Linked DNA regions of Saccharomyces cerevisiae S288C. The protein of the gene in region 2 binds, or shares a complex with, the protein of the main gene of each other region. Each region holds a gene or a part of one and is shown on either strand. Other genes may lie near its edges. The genes, in order: EMC1, EMC5 and EMC6. A codon is read from its position in the direction of its gene.

Region 1 (3,762 bases), on a different chromosome or scaffold from region 2:
CCATGACGAAATCGTCAACGACCCAAAGAAGGACGTTCTTGTTTTGTACTATGCCCCATGGTGTGGTCACTGTAAGAGATTGGCCCCAACTTACCAAGAACTAGCTGATACCTACGCCAACGCCACATCCGACGTTTTGATTGCTAAACTAGACCACACTGAAAACGATGTCAGAGGCGTCGTAATTGAAGGTTACCCAACAATCGTCTTATACCCAGGTGGTAAGAAGTCCGAATCTGTTGTGTACCAAGGTTCAAGATCCTTGGACTCTTTATTCGACTTCATCAAGGAAAACGGTCACTTCGACGTCGACGGTAAGGCCTTGTACGAAGAAGCCCAGGAAAAAGCTGCTGAGGAAGCCGATGCTGACGCTGAATTGGCTGACGAAGAAGATGCCATTCACGATGAATTGTAATTCTGATCACTTTGGTTTTTCATTAAATAGAGATATATAAGAAATTTTCTAGGAAGTTTTTTTAAAAAAATCATAAAAAGATAAACGTTAAAATTCAAACACAATAGTTGTTCGCTATATTCGTCACACTGCACGAACGCCTTAGGGAAAGAGAAAATTGACCACGTAGTAATAATAAGTGCATGGCATCGTCTTTTACTTAAATGTGGACACTTGCTTTACTGCTTAGGAAACTACTTATCTCATCCTCCTCCATTCCCTCTCCTTTTCCAATTACCGTAATAAAAGATGGCTGTATTTACTCCTCCATCAGGTAATAGCAATTCCACCGACCATACTCACACACAAGATGACCACGACAAAGATGATAATGATATCAAGAAATTCTACATAAGGCCAAGTTTAGGCTTAAAACTGTGGGGTCCGCTCGTACCCGCTCCTGATAACCTACCGGGACTATACACTCTAATCACTATCCAATCTGCAGTGGGTTTCTTTGCCCTTTGGAGACTGAGAAGGCTCTACAAACTACCGCCACCGCGCCGCATTGCCACTGGCACTCACTCGGATTTATCCTTTGGCGAACTACCCAGTGAAATGATTGTCAATGGCAAGACTAAAATCAAAAAGGATATTGCTGACTTTCCAACTTTGAACCGCTTCTCCACCACCCATGGTGACATTGTGCTCGCCCCTCCTCCCATCATACCTCGCCAATCTCGATTCGTCAGCGTCAGAAAGCTCTTATGGGGGTTGTTTGGCTCTTTGCTACTTTCTCAGTCACTGTTGGAGCTTACTCGCCTGAACTTTCTTAAATACGACCCCTGGTGCGACGAAATGAAATCCGTACGTGACAAGAAGTTTTTCAACAATATTGTCAAATATTATCACGAGGGCATAGACCCCACCAAAATAAAAGTCAAGGATGCTATGAACGGTACTCCTCTCTCGACAAATATCCCTGAGGTCAAACAAAGCGTCGCTCTCGCTAGAGCGCAAGTTGAGGCGCAGAATCCCATTATTAAATGGTTCGGACCCTTGGAATACAAGCCCATGTCTTTCAACGAGTACCTCAATCGCATGGAATTTCACTTGGACATGTTCGAGTTTTTTCAAAATAAAAGAAACATTAGAGAAAATTCCATTGAACTCATCAATTCCATATCCCACAATCCGCAGTCTTCTTCTACTGGCCTTGAAGGTCTTTCCGAGTCCAAAAAACTCCATCTACAAAATGTGGAAAAAAGACTGCATTTCTTAGCATCTTCGGGAGATTCCATTTCCGCACCAGTAAAGAAGAGATCCAGCACCACACTCTCCCGAGGTGTCATTTTGCCCCATGACACGAAAGGCCCGCAAGATATTGATCTCGATACAATAAGATCGCTTTATGATCCATGGATGACTTTGGCCTTAGAAACTTCGCTAAGCATCAAATTCATACCAACTACCATGCCCTCCCATACCAAGACACCCACTAGCACGGACCAGCCGTTACCAGGGCCTACCCCCAAGGCTCTCACTAATGAAAAGACACATTAGGTCTTTGCGGATTGCTTAGTTGTACCGTGCGTATATTAAATCCTTCTTCGTACACCGTGATTTTTCAGACGGCTACCAGAGAAAATATGGCTGGGATTTCATATTATATATGCAAATATATAATAACATATATATATATACACTCCATTAATAACTAATACCTACATTCATATCAACACTTTCATCCTCCCCTTCCCCCATAGCAATGAAGATAACGTGTACAGACTTGGTGTACGTCTTCATTTTACTCTTCCTAAACACGAGTTGTGTCCAAGCCGTTTTTTCAGATGATGCATTTATCACTGATTGGCAACTGGCTAACTTAGGTCCTTGGGAGAAAGTCATCCCTGATTCTCGAGACCGCAACAGGGTTCTCATCTTATCGAACCCTACCGAAACTTCCTGCTTAGTTTCTTCGTTTAACGTTTCTTCCGGACAGATTCTTTTCAGAAACGTTTTACCCTTTACCATTGATGAGATTCAACTGGATAGTAATGACCATAACGCAATGGTTTGTGTGAACTCTTCAAGCAACCATTGGCAGAAATATGATTTACACGATTGGTTTTTACTAGAGGAAGGCGTAGATAATGCCCCTTCTACGACCATTTTACCTCAATCCTCATATTTAAACGATCAAGTATCTATTAAGAACAATGAACTACATATTCTCGATGAGCAGTCAAAACTGGCAGAATGGAAATTGGAGTTACCTCAAGGGTTCAATAAAGTGGAATATTTTCATCGTGAAGATCCCCTGGCGTTAGTGTTGAACGTTAATGATACCCAATATATGGGATTCTCTGCCAATGGCACAGAATTGATCCCCGTTTGGCAAAGAGATGAATGGTTGACTAACGTGGTAGACTATGCTGTATTGGACGTCTTCGATTCTAGGGATGTGGAGTTGAACAAAGATATGAAAGCGGAACTTGATTCAAATTCGCTTTGGAATGCTTACTGGCTTAGATTGACAACTAATTGGAATCGCCTTATCAACTTATTGAAAGAAAACCAATTCTCACCAGGACGTGTCTTCACTAAACTCCTAGCTCTAGACGCTAAGGATACCACGGTATCAGATTTGAAGTTCGGATTCGCCAAAATCTTAATTGTTTTGACGCATGATGGCTTTATCGGCGGCCTTGATATGGTCAATAAGGGCCAACTTATCTGGAAACTCGATTTAGAAATTGATCAGGGCGTCAAAATGTTCTGGACGGATAAAAACCATGACGAACTTGTTGTTTTTTCGCATGATGGGCATTATTTGACAATTGAAGTTACTAAAGATCAACCGATTATCAAATCAAGATCCCCCCTATCTGAAAGGAAAACTGTTGATTCCGTTATTAGGCTGAATGAACATGATCACCAGTATCTGATTAAGTTTGAGGATAAGGATCATTTACTGTTCAAATTGAATCCCGGCAAGAATACGGATGTACCAATAGTTGCCAACAACCATTCTAGTTCCCACATATTCGTCACAGAGCATGACACGAATGGCATTTATGGCTACATAATCGAAAACGATACGGTAAAACAAACTTGGAAAAAAGCCGTAAATTCGAAAGAGAAAATGGTGGCATATAGCAAGAGGGAAACAACAAACCTAAACACTCTTGGTATTACACTAGGTGACAAATCGGTTCTTTATAAATATTTGTACCCCAACCTAGCGGCTTATCTGATCGCTAATGAAGAACATCATACAATCACTTTTAACTTAATTGATACCATTACAGGAGAAATCCTCATTACCCAAGAGCACAAGGATTCTCCGGATTTTAGGTTTCCAATGG
Region 2 (3,003 bases):
GCTAACACAAGCAGCAGAGTTTTTGTCTCCTTACATTTCCACTCACTTGAAAACTATTTGCAATCTGCTGATCTCTGACACTGAATCAAATGAACTGATCCAAAAGTTACAAAACTCGGCCAATAATAACAGCGATGACGAGGATGTTGACGATGAGGAATTGGACATCACTCCATTGTTTCCCATTGACAGAAATAGCACTATTTTATATCTGAACGTATTCCACGGTCTGTGTGCAGGTGCCAACAACCCCAAAATCCAAACTAAGGACAGCGTTAAGGAAATAGTTTTGCCTTTATTCTACGATTTGTTGAATGCCGCATCCATCGAATCTGCTGATATTCTGTGTCCTCTCCTAGAGAGCTTTATCACATTTTCTCTGGATGATTGGATATCTATTGGATATGAAACTGAATTAAAAAAAATTACCGACAAAACTATTAAAGCATTTATGGATTCTACAATCGGGAATTCAAAAGTTGACATGAAGTACGATATATTTGCTAAATTCATTCACCATATCCATCATTTTGAAAAAAAGGAACTGCAGGAAAAATTTTTAAACCAGATAGCTACATTGAAAATTCATTTAAAAAAATTTCTACAGGAAAAAATGGATCCAAATAATTCTAGGGACGACTACAAAGATTTAACTTGTTCTTTGTACGAGCTCTACATCAATAAACTGACAATTCTTGGCAGGGATTACCCAATCGAGGTTGATGAAGAGTTGTTGCAACTGTTTTTGAACAATTTTGTTTCCCGTATCCCTATAATGTTTCAAGATTTTGATGATAGTACCGCTCAAGAAATAAACTTTAAAATGCTAGTGTTATTAGCCACATGGAATCTGGAAAAATGGAGAGAAATAATAGAGAAAGTAAGGGATTACGAGAATTCTATTTCAAAAGATCTTAGATCAGTTTGGAAACCAATTGCCGCTATAATAGGTCGTCTAAACACACTCGTTATTTCATTGGCGGCTACAAACGAAACATTTGAAAACATAAACAGCTTGTTTTACTTAAAATGGTCAGCTTGCACTTCATTAATGGATATAATCGTTGCAATAAAAATATTTGAGCTCAAATTGCCTGCAGACGCTACAACATGGAGATATAGTATGAGTGAACAATTTCCATTTTACCTTCACGATAATGCTTCCAAAGTGCTTTTGAAAATATTTTTATATTTGGAGAGTCTTTTCGCTAAGCAAGTTGACGTCCAATTAGAAAGGGTAGCAGATGAAGACGCCAACCTAAATGATTTGCCGGAAACCGGGTTTTTCGAGAATATTGAAACTGAATTCCTTTTATTCACAGTTAAATTGAAGGGACTAATGAAACTGAATATTTTAGATGAACGATTTGCTTCCCGTGTGGCACTAAACAAAGAAAAGCTTGGCCCGCTGTTCAAAAAAATCGTAGATGATACCATAATGGAAAATCCAGAACCTAATAAAAAGAACATACAGAAAGCAAAATCAAATCAAACACAGAGGGAAAAAGCGCCTTTACAACCCAACAGTGAACGAGAAACCGACCATGCAAATACTGAAAATAATGATCCAGATATTCCCATGACAATCGATCTAGAACCTATTGAAGAAAGTTCGCAAAATAATTCAGAGTTAGCACCAATTGAGGAACACCCAACCGTGGTAGATGCTATAGACAACAGCGACGAAATCACACAAGATTAAGGGAAAAGATATACGTCAGACTTATTGCTCTTTTGTAAAACAATAAGATCTATAATATATATCACATCTTTCTTTTGAACATACATAGCTTCGTTAGCAGTTTTTGATTAATCATAAATACTTCAAATATCCCTTCGCATTAGACTATACTCGCTGGATGATATTCGGCTATGTATTTTCCAAGCCCATTCAATCGTCATCAAAGCGCCCTTTGCTTCTTCGAAAACTCGCGATGTAAACGCAGCGCAGAAAAATCTACTTTTGAATATAAAATAAAGTCAACTCAGATAGTTGTTATGCATGTTAATTGTAGCATCTAAAAAGCGATCGTAATTAAGCCCTACCGAGATACAAAAAAGCAATTATCAAGAGATGTCGTTTGTTTCCAAGCTTCTCTATACAGTCTCTGCATTGGTGTTATTTCATTCTGGTTTCTCAAGCTATGAGTTTCATCACTTATTAAAACTTAACTCGCTTAATAATGCACAAGGTGCAATCAGCAAGTTACCTAAAGATATCATGTATGAAACGTATGCAGGATTGATACTCTTTGTTCTTGCAGTGTTCACTTCGTTCGAGAAATTACAATATTTACCAATTGAGAGTAACGATGGGAAGATAATATCCCAAGGAAACTATCTAAAAGAAATCGCATTAAATAAAGCCACCAACGTGGATAACTTGATAGGAAGTAACCCTAATGGTGAGATCATATTTACTCCAAGCTTTGTTGACGTTCATATGAAGAGAAAAATTTGCAGGGAATGGGCCTCTAACACTGTAAAAAAAGAAAAATAAATAAGATACTGAAAACTAGAGCTAGAACTTATAATTTCATACATATATACATATCAAGATCTAATAAGAGGATTAGCTAGATTTTGAGCATAAATTCGATAGCGAATCTACTCGAACATCGTAACTGCACAAAATAAGGCGTCAGGTGACCAGGCACCTCTTCTATTTACACCAACACAGACGCCTTTCATAGAGGAATAGAAAGCTATATTAGAATCACCAATAATGCAAGCGTCTCCTGTGTTCTATAACGTGAACCATAAGCTTGAGTGGTTTCAAAAGGATTACGGGGCGGATAGTATCTTTTGCGTCTTCGTTGGATAGTTTGTTATTAAGATACATAAATACACACTAAATTTAGTGGTAAAATCTTCTATTCAATATTATCGAGAGTCTCGGTTTGAGGGCTAACACTCTAATGGATAACCGTTCGGAATATTTCTATTCCAGTTTACATAGTATAAGTACGATATTCATCCTCATGTTAGCGTAAGTGGAACTTG
Region 3 (2,502 bases), on a different chromosome or scaffold from region 2:
GTTTTTGGTGGTTATCTATATTTACTATCAAACATTTTACATTGTGCTATCTAGGGAGCTAAAAAGATTGATCAGTATATCTTACTCTCCGATTATGTCCTTAATGAGTGAGAGCTTGAACGGTTATTCTATTATTGATGCATACGATCATTTTGAGAGATTCATCTATCTAAATTATGAAAAAATCCAATACAACGTTGATTTTGTCTTCAACTTTAGATCAACGAATAGATGGTTATCCGTGAGATTGCAAACTATTGGTGCTACAATTGTTTTGGCTACTGCAATCTTAGCACTAGCAACAATGAATACTAAAAGGCAACTAAGTTCGGGTATGGTTGGTCTACTAATGAGCTATTCATTAGAGGTTACAGGTTCATTGACTTGGATTGTAAGGACAACTGTGACGATTGAAACCAACATTGTATCAGTGGAGAGAATTGTTGAGTACTGCGAATTACCACCTGAAGCACAGTCCATTAACCCTGAAAAGAGGCCAGATGAAAATTGGCCATCAAAGGGTGGTATTGAATTCAAAAACTATTCCACAAAATACAGAGAAAATTTGGATCCAGTGCTGAATAATATTAACGTGAAGATTGAGCCATGTGAAAAGGTTGGGATTGTTGGCAGAACAGGTGCAGGGAAGTCTACACTGAGCCTGGCATTATTTAGAATACTAGAACCTACCGAAGGTAAAATTATTATTGACGGCATTGATATATCCGACATAGGTCTGTTCGATTTAAGAAGCCATTTGGCAATTATTCCTCAGGATGCACAAGCTTTTGAAGGTACAGTAAAGACCAATTTGGACCCTTTCAATCGTTATTCAGAAGATGAACTTAAAAGGGCTGTTGAGCAGGCACATTTAAAGCCTCATCTGGAAAAAATGCTGCACAGTAAACCAAGAGGTGATGATTCTAATGAAGAGGATGGCAATGTTAATGATATTCTGGATGTCAAGATTAATGAGAACGGTAGTAACTTGTCAGTGGGGCAAAGACAACTACTATGTTTGGCAAGAGCGCTGCTAAACCGTTCCAAAATATTGGTCCTTGATGAAGCAACGGCTTCTGTGGATATGGAAACCGATAAAATTATCCAAGACACTATAAGAAGAGAATTTAAGGACCGTACCATCTTAACAATTGCACATCGTATCGACACTGTATTGGACAGTGATAAGATAATTGTTCTTGACCAGGGTAGTGTGAGGGAATTCGATTCACCCTCGAAATTGTTATCCGATAAAACGTCTATTTTTTACAGTCTTTGTGAGAAAGGTGGGTATTTGAAATAATGACATTGATTATTATATATGAAGATATAGAACATTTAATGCGCTGCAATATGTACGGTCACGCCAATTCTTTTTCTTTCTATATGCTTTCTAGTAACCCGGGTAATCACAAATGAAGCTAGTAGAGATATAACTAAATACAACTTAATTTTAACCTTATGTTGGATTGCTCAAGCAGTGTTCGAGAAAGACAGCGGCAGACAGATAGAAATGAGCTCAAATGAAGAGGTATTTACTCAGATAAACGCAACTGCGAATGTGGTTGATAATAAGAAGCGTTTACTTTTCGTGCAAGATAGCTCAGCACTTGTTCTAGGGCTTGTTGCAGGATTTTTGCAAATCGAGTCAGTCCATGGGTTTATTTGGTTCCTGATTCTGTACAACTTGATTAATGTCATTTACATTGTTTGGATCTGTCAACTTCAACCAGGAAAGTTCTACCAAAGCCCACTTCATGACATTTTTTTCGAATCGTTTTTTAGAGAGATAACTGGTTTTGTCATGGCATGGACATTTGGATACGCCCTAATCGGATGAACATATAAGAACTACTTCTATAAACGGTTAGAAACAGGCTTGATTTATTATGTACAGTAAATATAATGTTATTTGTGTTTTTTTTTTTTAAATTTTTTTAGTTCCTTCTATGTAAAAAGACATGACAACAGTATTCTCAGTCAAATGATTTCAAATACACAATGTTAAATTCTCTATCTGTTGCAGAAATAAGAAGAGCGTAAGAGCGCAAAGATTTTTGCAGAAAAATAGAGATGAGGTACAAAAAGTAGGTAATGGAAAAAAGCAAATAATGAATATAGGGGAACATAAATGTTATGGACAAGAGTAGATATCAAAATAAAACAAAATAAAATAGAGTAAGTGAAAGACAAATGGAGGAAAAAAAAAAAAAAAAAAAAAAAAAAAAAATAGTAAAAAGTGAAAGGAGAACGATGATAACACTAATCACACCTCCGCATTTTCAACCAATGCTGCAAGTTTCTCAACACTGGCTAAATGTCTATTTCCTAGGGAGTTAGATTTGTTTAGTTTATCCAAATATGCTCTAATGGCAATGACGATCAATTTCTTACCCTCACCCTCAGAGACATTAACTAATTTTTGAATCACATAGTTGGCAAATTGATCCTTGATCATTAAAATCATTGGAGAATCGTCTTCCAGATTCAAAGCATGATTTT

The links.
Region 1: the proteins of EMC5 (region 2) and EMC1 are in contact, whole or in part, in a cryo-EM structure (PDB 6WB9), measured with the Saccharomyces cerevisiae proteins. Residues at the interface, in NP_012237.1 of Saccharomyces cerevisiae: His18 (codon at 2,126), Ser19 (codon at 2,129), Phe21 (codon at 2,135), Ser22 (codon at 2,138), Glu25 (codon at 2,147), Leu32 (codon at 2,168), Leu35 (codon at 2,177), Lys47 (codon at 2,213), Asp48 (codon at 2,216), Ile49 (codon at 2,219), Tyr51 (codon at 2,225), Glu52 (codon at 2,228); in NP_009884.1 of Saccharomyces cerevisiae: Leu248 (codon at 2,904), Ala251 (codon at 2,913), Tyr252 (codon at 2,916), Arg255 (codon at 2,925), Leu256 (codon at 2,928), Asn259 (codon at 2,937), Arg262 (codon at 2,946), Lys295 (codon at 3,045), Asn693.
Region 3: the proteins of EMC5 (region 2) and EMC6 are in contact, whole or in part, in a cryo-EM structure (PDB 6WB9), measured with the Saccharomyces cerevisiae proteins. Residues at the interface, in NP_012237.1 of Saccharomyces cerevisiae: Tyr9 (codon at 2,099), Leu16 (codon at 2,120), Gly20 (codon at 2,132), Ser23 (codon at 2,141), Tyr24 (codon at 2,144), His27 (codon at 2,153), His28 (codon at 2,156), Lys31 (codon at 2,165), Leu45 (codon at 2,207), Met50 (codon at 2,222), Thr53 (codon at 2,231), Tyr54 (codon at 2,234), Leu57 (codon at 2,243), Phe60 (codon at 2,252), Val61 (codon at 2,255), Val64 (codon at 2,264), Phe65 (codon at 2,267), Ser67 (codon at 2,273), Phe68 (codon at 2,276), Lys70 (codon at 2,282), Gly87 (codon at 2,333), Asn88 (codon at 2,336), Tyr89 (codon at 2,339), Leu90 (codon at 2,342), Lys91 (codon at 2,345), Glu92 (codon at 2,348), Ile93 (codon at 2,351), Ala94 (codon at 2,354), Leu95 (codon at 2,357), Ala98 (codon at 2,366); in NP_013087.1 of Saccharomyces cerevisiae: Gln10 (codon at 1,541), Ile11 (codon at 1,544), Asn12 (codon at 1,547), Ala13 (codon at 1,550), Asn16 (codon at 1,559), Val17 (codon at 1,562), Asp19 (codon at 1,568), Asn20 (codon at 1,571), Arg23 (codon at 1,580), Phe26 (codon at 1,589), Val27 (codon at 1,592), Ser30 (codon at 1,601), Val34 (codon at 1,613), Leu35 (codon at 1,616), Val38 (codon at 1,625), Phe41 (codon at 1,634), Leu42 (codon at 1,637), Gln43 (codon at 1,640), Trp52 (codon at 1,667), Leu56 (codon at 1,679), Ile60 (codon at 1,691), Ile63 (codon at 1,700), Tyr64 (codon at 1,703), Trp67 (codon at 1,712), Ile68 (codon at 1,715), Cys69 (codon at 1,718), Gln70 (codon at 1,721), Gly74 (codon at 1,733), Lys75 (codon at 1,736), Phe76 (codon at 1,739).

The regions. Positions count from the first base shown.
Region 1 is NC_001135.5:45,306-49,067, reverse strand, and holds the start of EMC1 (Emc1p), read left to right. Parts: upstream 1-2,162; coding exon 2,163-3,762. Other genes in the region: protein disulfide isomerase PDI1, read left to right, coding at 1-415; MGR1 (Mgr1p), read left to right, coding at 704-1,957. UniProt on the Saccharomyces cerevisiae protein: Part of the endoplasmic reticulum membrane protein complex (EMC) that enables the energy-independent insertion into endoplasmic reticulum membranes of newly synthesized membrane proteins.
Region 2 is NC_001141.2:303,176-306,178, reverse strand, and holds EMC5 (Emc5p), read left to right. Parts: upstream 1-2,074; coding exon 2,075-2,500; downstream 2,501-3,003. Other genes in the region: cohesin subunit IRR1, read left to right, coding at 1-1,702. UniProt on the Saccharomyces cerevisiae protein: Part of the endoplasmic reticulum membrane protein complex (EMC) that enables the energy-independent insertion into endoplasmic reticulum membranes of newly synthesized membrane proteins.
Region 3 is NC_001144.5:119,809-122,310, forward strand, and holds EMC6 (Emc6p), read left to right. Parts: upstream 1-1,513; coding exon 1,514-1,840; downstream 1,841-2,502. Other genes in the region: ATP-binding cassette bilirubin transporter BPT1, read left to right, coding at 1-1,303; mRNA-binding protein PUF3, read right to left, coding at 2,267-2,502. UniProt on the Saccharomyces cerevisiae protein: Part of the endoplasmic reticulum membrane protein complex (EMC) that enables the energy-independent insertion into endoplasmic reticulum membranes of newly synthesized membrane proteins.